Linked DNA regions of Styela clava. The protein of the gene in region 2 purifies or fractionates together with the protein of the main gene of each other region. This does not show direct contact. Links are inferred from orthologs where the notes say so. Each region holds a gene or a part of one and is shown on either strand. Other genes may lie near its edges.

The links. Proteins that work in one complex are often made in the same cells at the same time.
Region 1: the proteins of replication protein A 32 kDa subunit-A-like (region 2) and zinc finger-containing ubiquitin peptidase 1-like purify together in Homo sapiens (affinity purification with western blotting; 3 studies listed by BioGRID, with this or other methods). This does not show direct contact. The link is inferred for Styela clava from reciprocal best matches to the Homo sapiens genes RPA2 and ZUP1.

What each region holds. Positions count from the first base shown.
Region 1 is NC_135251.1:18,600,306-18,607,733, forward strand, and holds the start of zinc finger-containing ubiquitin peptidase 1-like, read left to right. Parts: upstream 1-4,362; 5' UTR 4,363-5,486; coding exon 5,487-5,715; intron 5,716-6,265; coding exon 6,266-6,484; intron 6,485-7,031; coding exon 7,032-7,221; intron 7,222-7,428. UniProt on the Homo sapiens protein: Deubiquitinase with endodeubiquitinase activity that specifically interacts with and cleaves 'Lys-63'-linked long polyubiquitin chains. Shows only weak activity against 'Lys-11' and 'Lys-48'-linked chains.
Region 2 is NC_135250.1:25,184,275-25,192,252, forward strand, and holds the start of replication protein A 32 kDa subunit-A-like, read left to right. Parts: upstream 1-4,897; 5' UTR 4,898-5,067; coding exon 5,068-5,086; intron 5,087-6,651; coding exon 6,652-6,752; intron 6,753-7,306; coding exon 7,307-7,408; intron 7,409-7,978. Other genes in the region: uncharacterized protein LOC120335106, read right to left, coding at 1-55, 603-669. UniProt on the Homo sapiens protein: As part of the heterotrimeric replication protein A complex (RPA/RP-A), binds and stabilizes single-stranded DNA intermediates that form during DNA replication or upon DNA stress.

The DNA of each region.
Region 1 (7,428 bases), on a different chromosome or scaffold from region 2:
ATTATTTGCCTAGCGCAAGCTCTTTTGTGGTGCTTCTTTGTTGGCATATTTTGCCATTTCCTCTTCCGCGTGCTCAGTATGAACCGTCATATTAAATGAAATATTATACTTCGATATCCCATTTCATGCTTGGGCCATATTATGTTCTGTATAATGTCTGTCAAGTTATTATTGTAAATGTTTGTCTATGCATAACTGTCACCGCTGTATCAAATAGTATGTTAGCTCTGTACAGTATGATAATGCTCTGTTTTAATATTTGTTAACATATATGCGCATGAATGTCTGTCTTTTTACTTCGAATAAAGTGTAGAAAATAAGTTCCCAAAGTGAAATCTATTAATGATCGTCTGATAAAACACCAGATCAAGTCGTTTTACATTATGAATTCTGCAAATTTGCGCACATTGATCAGTGTTATTGTACCAGATTCAACGTAAAGTATCTCACAACAATGCATATTCGTATGTGGAACGAAGAGTCGATTCTAACATTCTGTGCCCTGTACCTCCATATTTACTCGTAGATTTCAGTCTGTCAACTCCAAACTATCTGTTCTTCACTGTTGGTATGTCTTGATAATAATGCCGGAAATTGCAATAATAATGCAATAAAATTTACCATGTTTTAGTTCGTTTTTCTAGCTGTTTTATCAATCATTATAGACATCATTTTATGGAATAATTCGTTGCAAACTGAGAATTTCATTTTGTATAAAACCACGAAGGGTATTTATTTTATGTTTAATGACTTTATCATCATCACGAAATCATTATTTTTATTAACCGTTACACAAACGGACATAGTGTTTTGCGAAATTGACCTTATGAAAATTCTAGATTATCAAACTATTTCGATATGGACACCTTGAACTAGCACGTGGGTTTTATATCTACCTGAACTAAAGTTTATTGATTTTAACGAAATTGTAAAACAGTTCTATGCTTCAAATCATATTTTCATTATATGTCGCATGATGCTACTATTCTACATTTCCCTATATGACTCATTTGTATCTATATTCATATATATATATATCCACCAGTTTTGAATACATCTCGTATTACTGTGCATTTATGGGAACTATTCTGAACATTTGTCGTTAAAATGACACACATTGCAAATAGCAACTCGAACGTAAATATATAACAAATAATGAAAATTGGTATAAAACAGTGTTTGTTCAACGTTTTGTTGGGTTTAGGTCAGTCCGTGTACAAAACCAATAAAGGGCATGTTCATATGTTTACGCTTTATTTTATTTTAACGATCGAATTCAGGTTACAGCACCAATCATTAACTGAGATGGATAAAAACAAGAGAGCAATGCTCCTAGACATAGACACCACTGTCAAATAACTACATCAAAGAGCTTAACTTTTATTGGAAAATTACTCAATTTTCAACAACGTACTCACACCCCTAATCGCTTCGCAAAAAAAAAATGTTGTGCCTCTCGTCAAGTGGTTATATGGATCTTTTTTTTTATCATTCCATCATCTTGTTGTTCTTGTTTCATATATCCGAATATCGGGGCAATCTTAGGACCTCTAAAGTGGGAGGTTTTTTTATCGCGAACTGTGTACTGCGGTACCTGATCTGGTAACACGAAATGACTCGGATCAGCGCCTATTTCAATTCACGTTGAAACTGAATCATGGAGAATGGATCATCGTCACAGGATCTGGAAAAGCTATGACAGTCCCTGTACCGTTACCCTGATACAGTTACCGCATATGATTTTTGGGGAATTGGTGATAAAATATTTAGTTCTACATTCAGTGTTCACGTATTTGAGCATAGCTCCCTTGTTATCAAATCGAAGATTATACAATTTTTTTTAATGCAAATACACACTCTGCCTTTGTTATGTATCAGTTGCTATAGATATGAAACTATTAAAGAAGCTGCTACACCAACCAGAGGATCTGAACTTACCGAGGATTTGATCTTTACAGATTGTTGTACGTCAACTACAGTTGATGATGGAATTGGTCCCCTCTCTCTCTCTCCAATGTCTGAAAGTTTTACAGATGGAAACATGTTTTTAACTCAAGCTTTAAAACTTAACTCACATGAATTCAGAAACAAATGGAAGTCTTCCGACCATAGCGTCACAAGTCAGGAATTTGTGCCAGTTCCATTGACATTGACAACCATTATAAATTTGATGGATTAGGATATTTTAGCAGCCTGCCAAATAGTCTTAAAACATTAAAAATAAATATGAGGGATTTATTGCATCATTTATGCTTCTATGAACAGATATAGATGACGCAGACTGAACTAGTCATATATATCGTTGCAAACGATTAATTCACTAATATATATCACATATATTTTGAATATAGAAACACTGGGGTTTCATAGATGTGATATGCTGTAGTTCAATACTTTATACTTATATAAACAAACAGTTATTTTTTATTATGTTCTGTGTTTACTACATTTCATGCAATGTTTTCAAAAAACTTCACTTACAACTTGGAAATCTAAGTTAATTGTCGAGAATATTAAAAATCAACAAATATGAATAAGTGTTCTATTTTAATTATATCTTCATACATTCCAGATTTTATGTGATTATTTAGTTTTCCAATGCCAAATTTTGAGTAAAGTAATTCCGTAAAGTCCATTGCTATTACAAGTGAGGAATGGACAATTATTCATACATGCAGACACACAATTTTTTTTAAAAGATATTCTTGCTGTCATTGTTTACTTTGGTATTAAGACTCGAACCTCTTTCTTCTTTTTGATATTTTCCCAAGTTGTGATGATATATATTATTATAAGATAATTAATTAAAGTATATTCAATCAATTTTTATTGTACTAAAATAAATTTTACTCCATGAGATTTTATAGAAGACTTAGAGATTTTTCTAACGGTTTTATTTTTAAAATAATCTGAGTATAATAATATTTATCAAAATTCAAAACTAGATATATATAACCGGGCAGTTTACCACACATTTTCATGTCCGCGGATTGCCGTGGTATTTTAGAGTAATCATACTTCCATTTTGTCGACGCAATCGCAGGTTAAATTGAAGGCAATGTCCCTGTCGGTTATGGATTGATTACTTTGCACAACAGAAAAATCATAATTATCCGTCGAAAAAGTCGTTCCGCGGGGATTTCGAGGCGATGAATATGTATTTTTGATATACTGATATACTTTATATGTATTTAATTGTACTCTATGGGATTTTCTCACAGATCTTGAGATTTTTTTAACGGCGATAAAGAATTCGCAAAAATAAGTATCAAAACTAAATACAATAATAATCCGCGTAATCGCGGAGAATGTTTCAAAAGGGAATGGGAATTTCCGTTTTTTTTAATCCTTCCAGGACAATTAAAGTAAGGCAATATCAGATTGAATTGGTCATTATCAACTTAAGTGTTTTAAAAGTATAACAGCCCGAAAGTTCAATACATTTGTGTATTTTTCTTACCCAAGCCTGGTTTTATAGGGAGAAAGAGATGAGATGGATTTTGGGGATATTGACTATCACCCTATATATTTAAGTTCGATTCCCGCGTTATTGTTTTGACACGCGTTATGGAATATGACTCCAATCTGGACTCCTTCAGACGATAATAAGCGCACAGTGTTGATGCTAATCGTTGTTGTATATTATAGGAAGATGCACAATCCAAATTCCGAAACAGATAAAATTGAGACACACTTAACTCTTAACACAGTAAATCAGGAGTGAATCAAAACACATCACACTTAACGCAATAAAACAGAAGTGAATCAGAACACATCACACGTAACGCAATAAAACAGAAGTGAATCCAAACACATCACACCTAACGCAGTAAAACAGAAGTGGATCAAAACACATCACACCTAACGAAGTAAAAACAGAAGTGGATCAAAACACATCACACCTAACGCAGTAAAAACAGAAGTGAATCCAAACACAATATTATGCAGCCCTCTCGGCAAGCCGGGACGATACGTCATCAAATTGGTCGATACGAGAAAGGCAGTACATGTAATCAGTACTCAGTGTTGCTACAATAAATGACCTATTGTGGGAAACGGAACACACTATTAAAATGAAAGGGTTAAATACATTATAATTCATAGTTACACAATGCACATTCGCTACAGTTTAATTAACCAGGTTTGTGTTTATAAAGGTTTTGCCCATTTTGCAGAATTCTCCATTTTTTGATTATGGAATTTTCAAATCAAACTCTTTTATTTATTCAACGTTGTCGGTAATCACCAAGGCCGAGCACATAGTAAACTAAACAGGCAATGGACACTACGCAACAGAAAGTAAGCAGGAATTAAGAAATGGCGATTTTTCTCGTAAACATACAAACAAGATTAAGGACGGGAATTTAGCAAAACAGTGTGTGTGTGTGTCGGCAGCATAAATGTATGGTAATTTATGGGTAACTATTCAAAACTTTTCGATTACCGAACAAAAGCAGGTTAGGGACACGCTTGCCACCGCACTGATTACCCCGCGTGGTTCGCATGTTCGAATATCGTGTGGGACAATGCTGACTCTCTGTGGTGAAAGAACCGCTGGATTCCTCGCCGTCACATAAACGCTTGTCGGTTACAGCATTCTCCACCATCGGTTCCATGCATCTGAAAAAAATATAGTCTGCTATCTAACTAATCCCATTCACGACGTGGAATGGTAACCGGATGAGAGATTTTGACGTTAATATTGTCAACTCGTGACTCCATACACTCCTTCGTACCAGAAAATGATGGGGAATCACCTGTATTTGTCAAAGACGCTTCCTCAATAAGCCAATGAACGAAATAGTGTCAGAAGTTCTCAGAACAAACCATTAATTCAAAATATTCGTTTGATGTTGCATATATACTGTCATTATGGCATCATTTTGTACAAATTCCACCAATTAACTGTATTTTTAATTCACTATATTATGATATGATATACTGTGTAGACAGACGTATTTATCATGCTGTAGCTTTCAAATTGTCCTAAAGGCTAATTTTGCATTTCGAGCAAGATTGATTCTATAGTCATAGTGTACTTTCAGCGATTCCTTTGGGACTTTTCCATCAGTGCTTTAGATCTGTATTGCTGTTGGTGAACTTTGAAAATTTGCCATTTCCTGATTTCTGTATTTACATATTTAAGTGTGTAATTTCTGTTGCACATTCTATTTTACATTGCTAATTGAACACTCATACATGGAATTGAAATACAATGTTGCGTAGGGTTTCTTATTCTGGTACTGTTTTCGAAATTGAAAAATAATATTGTTAAGAATCTGAACATCATGTTTTTAATGATGTGCTGTATGCAGTGCATATACAAATGTGTTTTTTAATTGACAAGTAAGCCTACATTCGGCAATGGTGAATAATTCTTTGTGTTTATGATTCAGTGATTACTTGATTAGTTTACTGATTAGTAATATACTGAATATAAGTTCTGTCCCACCAAATGTTTACTCAATACTCTTCTGTTCAAAATCATGGATGAAAGTTGGTGTGATTCATGTTTAATATGTGGCCAGAGATATTTTTCTGAAGATGAAATGACAAAGCACATTGAATTGGATCATGCAACTTGCAATAGGGAAAATGATATTGACAAATCAAAATGTCCATTTTGTACATACGTGGTTTCCAATAAAGATGAAAACAAGATGGAAACCCATGTAATGGATGTTCACAAGGAGGAAATGCGTACACCAAAGAAAGGTATCCACTTTAATTTATTAAAGCAAAATCTGAAGGTGCGAAAGGTCTGATCATTAGTTTGATTTATTTATTAACATACTCTTTGAATATCAAATGTAAATTCTGGTTAAGTTACCTAAACAGAGTATGAAGTTTCTCAAACTGGGTCCTAAGCCTCCCCTAGTGATCCATGAATTGGTTTTCTGGAGGACATGACTAAAGGTACTATTAGCAGTGACTACATTTATTCACAGTAAATTGACAGAGATTTGCCTAAATTGTTGATTGTAATAGGATTTTTCTTACTTTAGTTGGCCTTTCATTATTGAATGTGTTGCATAAACTAACTAACAGAAACGCATAAGAAGCAAAAATATGTCTTTTTTGAAAAGATCAGGGGGCCACAAGTGTTAAAGATACATTGAATGGCGGCCACAGATCATAAAAGCTCGAAAAACACTGGCGTAATCATTCATAGGCCTATCAATAATTACTGAAAGCCCCTTAGTCAGGATATTAGATAATTAAAGCTTAAATATAGTATAGTGTTACAAAATCCTATCTGTTGCAGATGAGTGTGGAGCATCATCAGGGAGTGAGGTTAATGGAGAATGTAGTAACAATGTTGATTCATCTCAATCAGAAGTATTAAGTTGTCCTGTTTGTCAATTAACTGGATTTGACAATGTTGACAAACTAACTTTTCATACAGAGTCTCATTTTATTGACAATGAACAGGGACATATGTCAGTAAAATCTGATTACACACAAGATGAGCTGTTGGCTATAAGTATGATTTGTATATTAAGTTACTATATTGCAAAGAATTCAATGTATCAAAGTTATCTCGCCTATTTGAAAAGTTGTTTATGTAGTAACTAATAAGTAAATTTTTAAGATGCGTCTACAGATAAAATTCTCTGCTATAATTTATTTCTGGCTCACAAAGTTTCTTATATGTATCTTCACTTCTTATTACTGCTTGGTTTGCTAGTCTGGGTCCTGGCCAACCTAGGTTCAGATGCAATGATTGCGGTATTAGATGTTAAATTTATGAAGTATGTTTTTTCCTAATCTAATGGATTCCTATGTTCATGTCTTTTCTTCTCTGGTGTGAAGCATCTCATAAAAATTATTTAGTCCCGAATCACACAAACTTTAACAAAAACTCATTTAAATAAGATCAATAGTATAGCGACTGTCATCACTCTTGCTCAAATGGGCTTACTCCAAATGAGTTTACTCCGATCTACATTTTTGTTTTGTGCTATCAAAATAAACCTCATTGTAACACCACTTCTACACTTTGATACTCTAATAATATATCTCCATTCTAGAGTTACAAGAGCAAGAAAGATTCGAACTACAAGCCAGTCGAGACGTTGCGGAAAACTTATATTTTGAAGAATTAAGGAGTAAATATGGAATGGGCAAAGAACACCAAAGGACTGGTTTCCGGAATCAAGCGTTTAAAAATATGGATAAACAAGTTGGAAGAGCATCATCATCATGTTTTGATTATTACAGGTAGATATGGTCATGAGAATCATGAGTGTATATGTTTACTGTTTGATCAAAACTATAAACTCCTGTCAAATATAATTTTGCTTTAAAAGTAAATGATTTAGCTCGCTCAAAATCGTATGATGAGGTTAAATACCAATATTCAGGAGTATTGCTTTCATTAATTCAAATGTTGTTGTAATGTGTTAGGATTTCTGGTATTGAGTGCTT
Region 2 (7,978 bases):
TTATGTTTGAAGAATTTCAACTCAAAATCGCCGACACATCTTGTCCGCCACGGTTCTAAATCAAAATAATTACTTTTAATTTTCAGTTTCATTTTGTCATAGAATATTGGGCAAGGGACAAAATATGATTATCTTTGTGCTGAATTGTTGCTGTTGTTGGCGTTGTCCTTGTTGTTGTTGTGAAAAATTGATTTAAAATGCATAACTGTATGACTGTATGAATGATGTGGGAAGACTTAATTTTTCATTTTTTTATTTTCAGAGGAATTAACCCATGCTTTTGCTGTTATATATAACTTAATTTATGAAAACACTGATAGATATCTTCAAGCCCATATATTTGAGCATTGTTCTATCGTTATAAATCATCAAGCGACAAAATATATCAATAAACAGACCTCTAGAAAGTTTTTTCTGTGTTGTTTTTTCGGGGACAGCTGTTCTAAACTTTGCTGTATGGAGAAAATTTACGCCATCGTGCAAAATTCCCTACCCACAGACTTCGATGAGTTTAACCAGCGATTTCGTTATACGTATATTTGTGCATTGCCCTCCTCTATATAAGCATCACAATTGATTTTAAAAATTAAATAATTTCTCACCTTCTGCGGAACATAGTGTGGCTGAAATTGTTGCGATAATAACGGGTAACATTCCTATGAAATTCATTTTCAATATAGCTCAGTCAACCTGTAAATATATTACATGCTCTGACTACATCTGAATTTGAAATAAAAATTTTCAGAAATAAACATTTTTAACGTTTTTATTGTACAACTGTTTTAGATACACTCATCGTTGTTTATGGTCTGAAGTCTTTAATTTAACATAACACTAATGAAAGGCCAGGCAACCCCCCCAAAAAGGACAATTTCGTTCAGCATTGTTTTTGCCGTCGCTCCGACTATCGTTTACCCGAATAACCGGACAATTTAGAGTGTTAACGAAAGTTCTTTCACTGGTAATACCATCCCTAATACCTCACTATTTTCTTTCGGTAGGACTGTCCTTTTTTGGCCATTCGCCTGAGCACAAAAGTTCTGGATTTTCATTTCAATAGAGTTGAATTATGTAAGCCAGCCGATAATACGCTAATAAACAGTTTAGCATTTTATCAATCGGCTTTCATCTAATCGCACATTTGAGTCTAAAACTTATTCCTTACATCCTAGAAGGCTAACATACTCAATGGTATTTTTAAAACACATGATATGGATTTCAGAATATTTTAATATTGTTATTTGTTATTTATTTTAAACCGTCTATTGAAATTTATCTGAGATCAGAATCCAAAGACTTGGTCAAGAGCAAACATATATATATGCAAATTTGCGAACAGTTGCTAAAGTACAATTAAGTTATCAGACATTTCACACTTCAGACATAGAATGAACATATAATATCGTGTGGATTAAACTAAACAAAACTAAATGTGATGATATTGCAATCTTTCTTAAGACAAGATAATAAATAGAAAAGAAAAATCTTCTGATAAAATCATTTATATACAAATACACCTCGAAACTCTGACTTTGCGCGGTAGAAACAAGTAGTTACCAAATTTATTATGTGTACCACTACTGTTTTTATATAGATTCCAACGACTACCGAAAGAACGAAATGGCCTACTCCGTCATATAATGCTCCTGTTGAACTGTGTATAGTAAGAATAAAAACTATTCAAAAAATGTTATTTACGTTTCGAAACCCACCTCTGGAAATTGCGTAAAATATTGTATCCGTAACGCCTACGTTTTCGTCTTTCAAATGCGTCTGCTAGGATTCGGTCGGGGGAATTTCATTCTCTTCACAATGAACTGAAATATGAGGCATCATCAAAACAGTAAACAGCGTAATATTGCCGCAGCTTACTCATGTCCGGCCTTGACGATTCTCGGCTTACACAATCTGGTATATACAATAAACAAAAATCTGGCAATTCTGTCGTTTATGTGAAGCTGCTTGCTCAATTTAAAGTGAATTCGTTTGCCTAAGCCCTAATCAAATACATTCTATTTCACAATGCGCACCAATATTAAAAATACTCTGATGTTGTAAAGGTCCGAATGTGCATTGAAATATTTGAGATTCATTAATAAGAATTAATAGTTTAAATTAATTACTCATTTTATGCAACTAAAACCCCTATATTTCTTCATTTCTTTTCGCTATTTCGTTTCTTGGCCTGGGTCCCTCACCCAACGTTCCCAGGTGTTGGGGGCGATGGAAATAAAGTAGTGGGAATTTATATAGTGCCGCAAACTAAGGTACCTGTGACTACTAGAGGTATTTCTGTTTTGATATTCTCCTACTTGTATTTCAATGCGTTATTAAAAAATCAAATATATATATTGCAAATTTATTTTTGAATAAGTTCAACTCAGTCTTGTGAATACGGATAATAGCTTATATTGAAATTCATTGGGTTCAGTATTATTGTGATACTTTCATATTTTTTCTTTCACGAAAGTATAACAAAATAGCATAGACTGTCGTTCCCATGTAGGGCTTCTTTCGTTTGGATAGCTTTTTCAAACAATCCTGAAGTCTAGGTTCTATATTGAAAATCCGACGTTATCCTTGCTTTAAACTTCAATCTAGGATTATGAAATGTTCATAAAGTATATATAATAATAGAATATTCAATACTGTTGCTTCAAAACCTTCTGTATATATATATATTTCGTGAGTGCATGATTATATAATGCTAAAAATCTACAAGTTCAATCGTAAAAAGCCTGATTTCAACCACATGCTATATGTCTGTAATATTCAGTTTATGATGTGTGTTTGACATCTTATATATTTTTTTTTTTTTACAAAATTTCATTCATTCTCGTCGTATATTCATTCTCACATTTTACTGGGTAGGTTTAACAAGACGTTTGTTGTTTGATGACGTAGTGTGAAAAAAAAATTAAAACCAAGCATTCCCGTTAGTTGAAAATGGAAATAACCAGTGGTGGGATTCAGCCGGTTCGCACTCGTTCTATAGAACCGTCCCAACTGTATGAGATCAGCGAACCGGTCAGCATTACTGGCTACTGTCCATGACTTTTTGTAACAGAACCCGTTGAAAAATATGACTTTTGTGATGGAACCGCCTAACAAAAAAAATTGAATCCCACTACCGGAAATAACCTATATTTTGCTATAAACACGTACGTATCTGCTTATTTTAAAACCAAGTCCTAACTATTGCAGACAAATTTTCAATTTTGTTTTTAAACATATCATTGAAAGGGTTGTTGTACACTTTTCTGGAATTTTCTAACATTCATACTAGTGCGTCAATAGGCTTCTATGTACATGCAATAGAATAGCAAAATTTCGAATTTATTGTTTGTGTTTCTATGCAATTCATACTAAAAATGCACTCCCATACAAGTATTGGAATGACGTTAGACCAAGTGTTTTCCTTTTATTATTAGCTTAAGTTTTTGTTTCAATTTGAGTGAATAAAAATTTTACCTTCCATGGTAAATAAAGCATTGTGAGGCACATAGGCTATATGACACCAACGTCGTAGAGAATCTAGATGTTGTAATGGACCTTCCACGACCCTGTAAAATTTTTAAATAGCTTGGAATGAATACGAAATTGTAATTACACGCAAGATACGTACGCTAATCACCTAAGTAGATTGAATAGTAAATTTTTTCTCATTTTTATTTGAAATCTATTTTTTTAAAATAAACTGACCTACGATAAAAACAGCTCTGAAATAGTAAAAATATATTAATTATCAGATTGGCTGTTGCCTGGATAAATTAGTAGCCTATAGCTATATATCGATAGTTTATTACCATTTCACAAAATGAAGTTAAAGGGGTGGAATTTTTCAAATTAGGATAACTTCATGTATTCGGCCGTATTTAATTTTTTGAACGATATGTATTTTGGTCGAGAATTATGAACCTGAATGAAAAATTAAACAAAAACTGTAGTAGTTATTCAAGGGTGGGTAATTACTTTGCTGAGTGGGCCAGTTACAGATAATAGACTTGGCCGGAGGCTCGGAACTCAATATGAAAAACCATGATTAAAAAACTCTTTATTTACAACAGTTAATCCAACAGTCAGGCAAACATTTGCATAGTAATATAAAGCACAATGTAACAATCGGGGTCATTATGACGTTATTTCAACGGAAATTTATTTTCATAAAAATTATAGTCGTAATTTCAGCAGACACAAGTGGGCCGTAATTTACCCGTTTCTGACTGATATAAAATTTTAAATTGGTTATATTTTAGAACATGATCTTACAAGTTATAAACGAGACCTAGTGCGGAATCTACCAGTGAGCAGGGTACCCTGAGGTCTAAGAGCTCATGACCAGCATGTTTTTAACGCTTGACACAACGTTCGTGTTATTTAGAATAATTTAATGCCACATAAAAACTCCTGGAAATGATATTTAAAATGCCAAAAATGTTAGAACGTCCCCATAGTCGTCATTACCCTACGACCAGTGGTGAGATTCAAATTTTTTGTCAGCCGGTTTCTTCACAAAAGTCATATTTTTCAGCCGGTTCTGTTACAAACAGAACATTGACCAGAGTCATTGGCTCTGCATTGACAGTAACCAGTGTTGCTAACCGGTTCGCTGATCTCATAAAATTTCGTGAGACGGTTCAATAGAATCGGTGCGAACCGGCAGAATCCCACCACTGCCTACAACCGCAAACTATTCGTACCATTTTATCTACCGATAGAAAATACCGTACCCATCACTTTATTTAGCATTTGACGTTAACTTCATTGTCATATATTATGGAGTATATATACTATTAAGTCAATTCATCTTGGAAAGATATTTGTCCAACATGGGAAGTCCAACTATATTTCACACGGGAGGGAGCTAGAGTGCGAGCCCGCGAAAACCTGGAGGGAATATTAGAAAGAGAAGTGTTGGTCTGATGATTCACGAATTGGGGTAACGTACCGTAACGTTTCTGACCTTTAGGAGCAAACCGTTGGATAACCGGATTACCGTATATTGCTTGGTTCGTTCAGCTGTTCATGCTTGTTCGCTCAACCCGACAGTGAAGACCAAATAGAGAAATGTTTGGAGGGGGTGGTGGTAAGCATCCTCGTTTTGTTCTCTAATTTTCAGATTTTGGAGTTTTGACAAGAAAATTTGAAAACATACTGACATAGGCTAATATTTCTGAGCCTATATTTTTACTGGTAGTAGGGTGGTGTAGCCAGTCTGCGGACGATTTCATTCAAACCGCTACAAAACAAAAACCATTATTTCTAACCCCTTTAATTTGTTTCACCGTAGGTGCATTGGCATTTCCTCTACACGCTAAACTTTCTACGACCAGGGGTTAAAGCTATACAAACCACCAAAGTACAACACTCTGAAGACTTATTTGCGACCGAACGACCAGTGTGCGAACACGGATTTCAAGCCTTGAACATCGTTTCTGCTGCGCCGAGACTAGGGCATACGCAGCCATGCGTGAAAAAATGGGCTCCTAATTGCATTTCTGACCGTCATATATTTTAAGAACACGGTTATTTCGAACAAAACTCTTCAAATTATAAACAAAGCACCACATCACAGCAATCAAACAGACAAAAACACGGTGGTCGCAAATCGATCGACATTGGCTAGGATTATCGACGTATTGGAAATGCGCACCCCCTATTCCCCCTCCTTTAAATGTAGAAACGCTAAACTTTAAAGATGGTTGAAAGAAACACAACTCTACCTGCCAAGTTTCATCTTTTTATCTCTTATATTTGTATGAATTTTTAAGCTTTTTTAAAGGGACAATGGGTAGTTGGCGACATGGAAAAATGGTCCGTTTTTTTTTCCTCGGTTGTGTTTTCGGTCGAAACTTTTTTGTTTGTGGCTGCATTTTAGTGTAATTTCGCAGAGCTACGAAGAATAAGTGGACGATAACGCGTGAAAAATATCGTCGCGGTTTGTTAATTTTTTCGGCATTAATTTAATCGATGAAGTTGACGGTCGCAAATAGGTCGTGGCCGCAAAGTGGGTAAGCCACCCTAGACTACACAGTCAGGCAGTGGACTTGTTGGCCAATCCCAGACCAGCGGACTGGATTTCATGTCAGGTGCACGCCCGAGTACGCTAGTGCTTCGCAAAAATGCATGTAAGCAGACGAAATAACCGTTATTAAAATTTAAATGAGTGTTTAACCACCAAATTGCAAAAACATTCTCAAAATACATATTTGATACCGTAATGGTTAACTGTTTTGTGACTGATTCAACGTATTTTTAATCCAATAATTTTACACGAATTTTAAGAAGAGTATCTTAAGTAATAATCAGTTGCACGCGGGCTCAGTCGTTTTGCATGCAGCGATCTCTAACCGCACGCCAGGAAATCTGATTTGAGAATTTCTAATTGCATGCTCCATTTCTAGTGAAAAAAAATCTATGGAATACAGACTGGTGCACAGCTGCACAGAGAGATAATGCTGTAATTTACTTGTTCTTCAAACTGTCAAACAAGAAACCCATACAACTTAATATACATAGAATGAAAATTTAAATTTTTGATAAGTGATTGGGTGGTAATGATGTTGCCATTATTAATAAGGTTACCATCTAAAATTAGCAAAGCAGGATAAATATGTCATAATTTAATTTCCTCAAATTTTATGTTTTCAGGATTCGGCGGAGGTGGAGGGGGATACGGTGATGGAATGGGAGGAGGAGGATTTCAGCAAGGTGGATTCTCATCACCATCAGCTGGAGGAGATAAAACCAAGGTAAGAGCAATCATGACAAATGTTTTGATTTTGAAGTTGTGTTGTCAAGATTTGTTAATGATTTTCTTGCAAACGTGCTGAAATGGATGAACATTTTGTGATTGCGAATAAATTATTATTTAGAGTGCTGATTTTGTAAAATGTTTTGGAACCAATATTTATTCTAGATCATTTTAAAATATCCACATGATATTTTGATATTTTCAAGTAACTGTTGAGAATTAACAGAAGTTATTATTAATCTGAATCCTGGTTTTTAAACTGAAATTTTATTTTTCAACATTCATCTTTTTTCTCGAGAATCATTTTAAAAATTGACTGGATTTGATAAATTGATTTTTCTACATTCTGAAGAATTGCTAAAGATTGTTTGGCAAACAGATAATCATCCCTGGATTGCAAAGGATTTATTATTCTAGATTATGACTTTCTGAAATGATTTTTTTCTTCAATAGTTTATTCTCAAAGATCATTCCAAAAAATCAATTTAGTGTACCATCAAGAAACCTTTTTCTTATTGCCTTCGCTTCATATTATTATCAACTTTATTTCAGAAATTTCGTTCACAAAATATAGTTCCATTATCAACATCAGATATAGCTTCTCTCACACATGATGGGAACGGATTCTTCCTGGAAGATTTGGAAGTTGGCCAGGTATGTATTAGTGAACTTGAAAAACAAGAATAATATAGAGAAATCTGTACTCAAATACTAGTCTCCTAGAACAGTGTTTTGCAAACAGTGGGGCGCGCCCCACAAGGGCAGCATAGACAGTAAAAGTAATATGTATATGTAGTTTATTGTTAGCTATTTATTGTTGGTAGGGGGAGGGGGGGGGGGCGCAAGACTTGACAAATTTCAAAAAGGTGGCACGGTTTAAAAAGTTTGAGAGCCACTGCTCTAGAATAGAAATTACTTTCCGTGGACTTCCAGTTCCAAATATATTTTTGTAAACTTCTGACAAATTACATTACCTTAGGTTACATTACTGCTGACTTCGAAATACTTGATTAAAATTCATTCAAGATAGAAAATATTCAATTATGCCATTCCATCTTTTGCTGTAATGTTGTAATTTACTCCACATTTCTGAGTATAACTTGTCTTTTCAAGCATGCTTATGTTGTATTTGGTCTTGTAATATTTTTCGTTGTGCATTAATGAATATGATAAACAAACTAAATAATTGTCATTTTGGATTCTGTGCACTCTCAGCATTTTTCA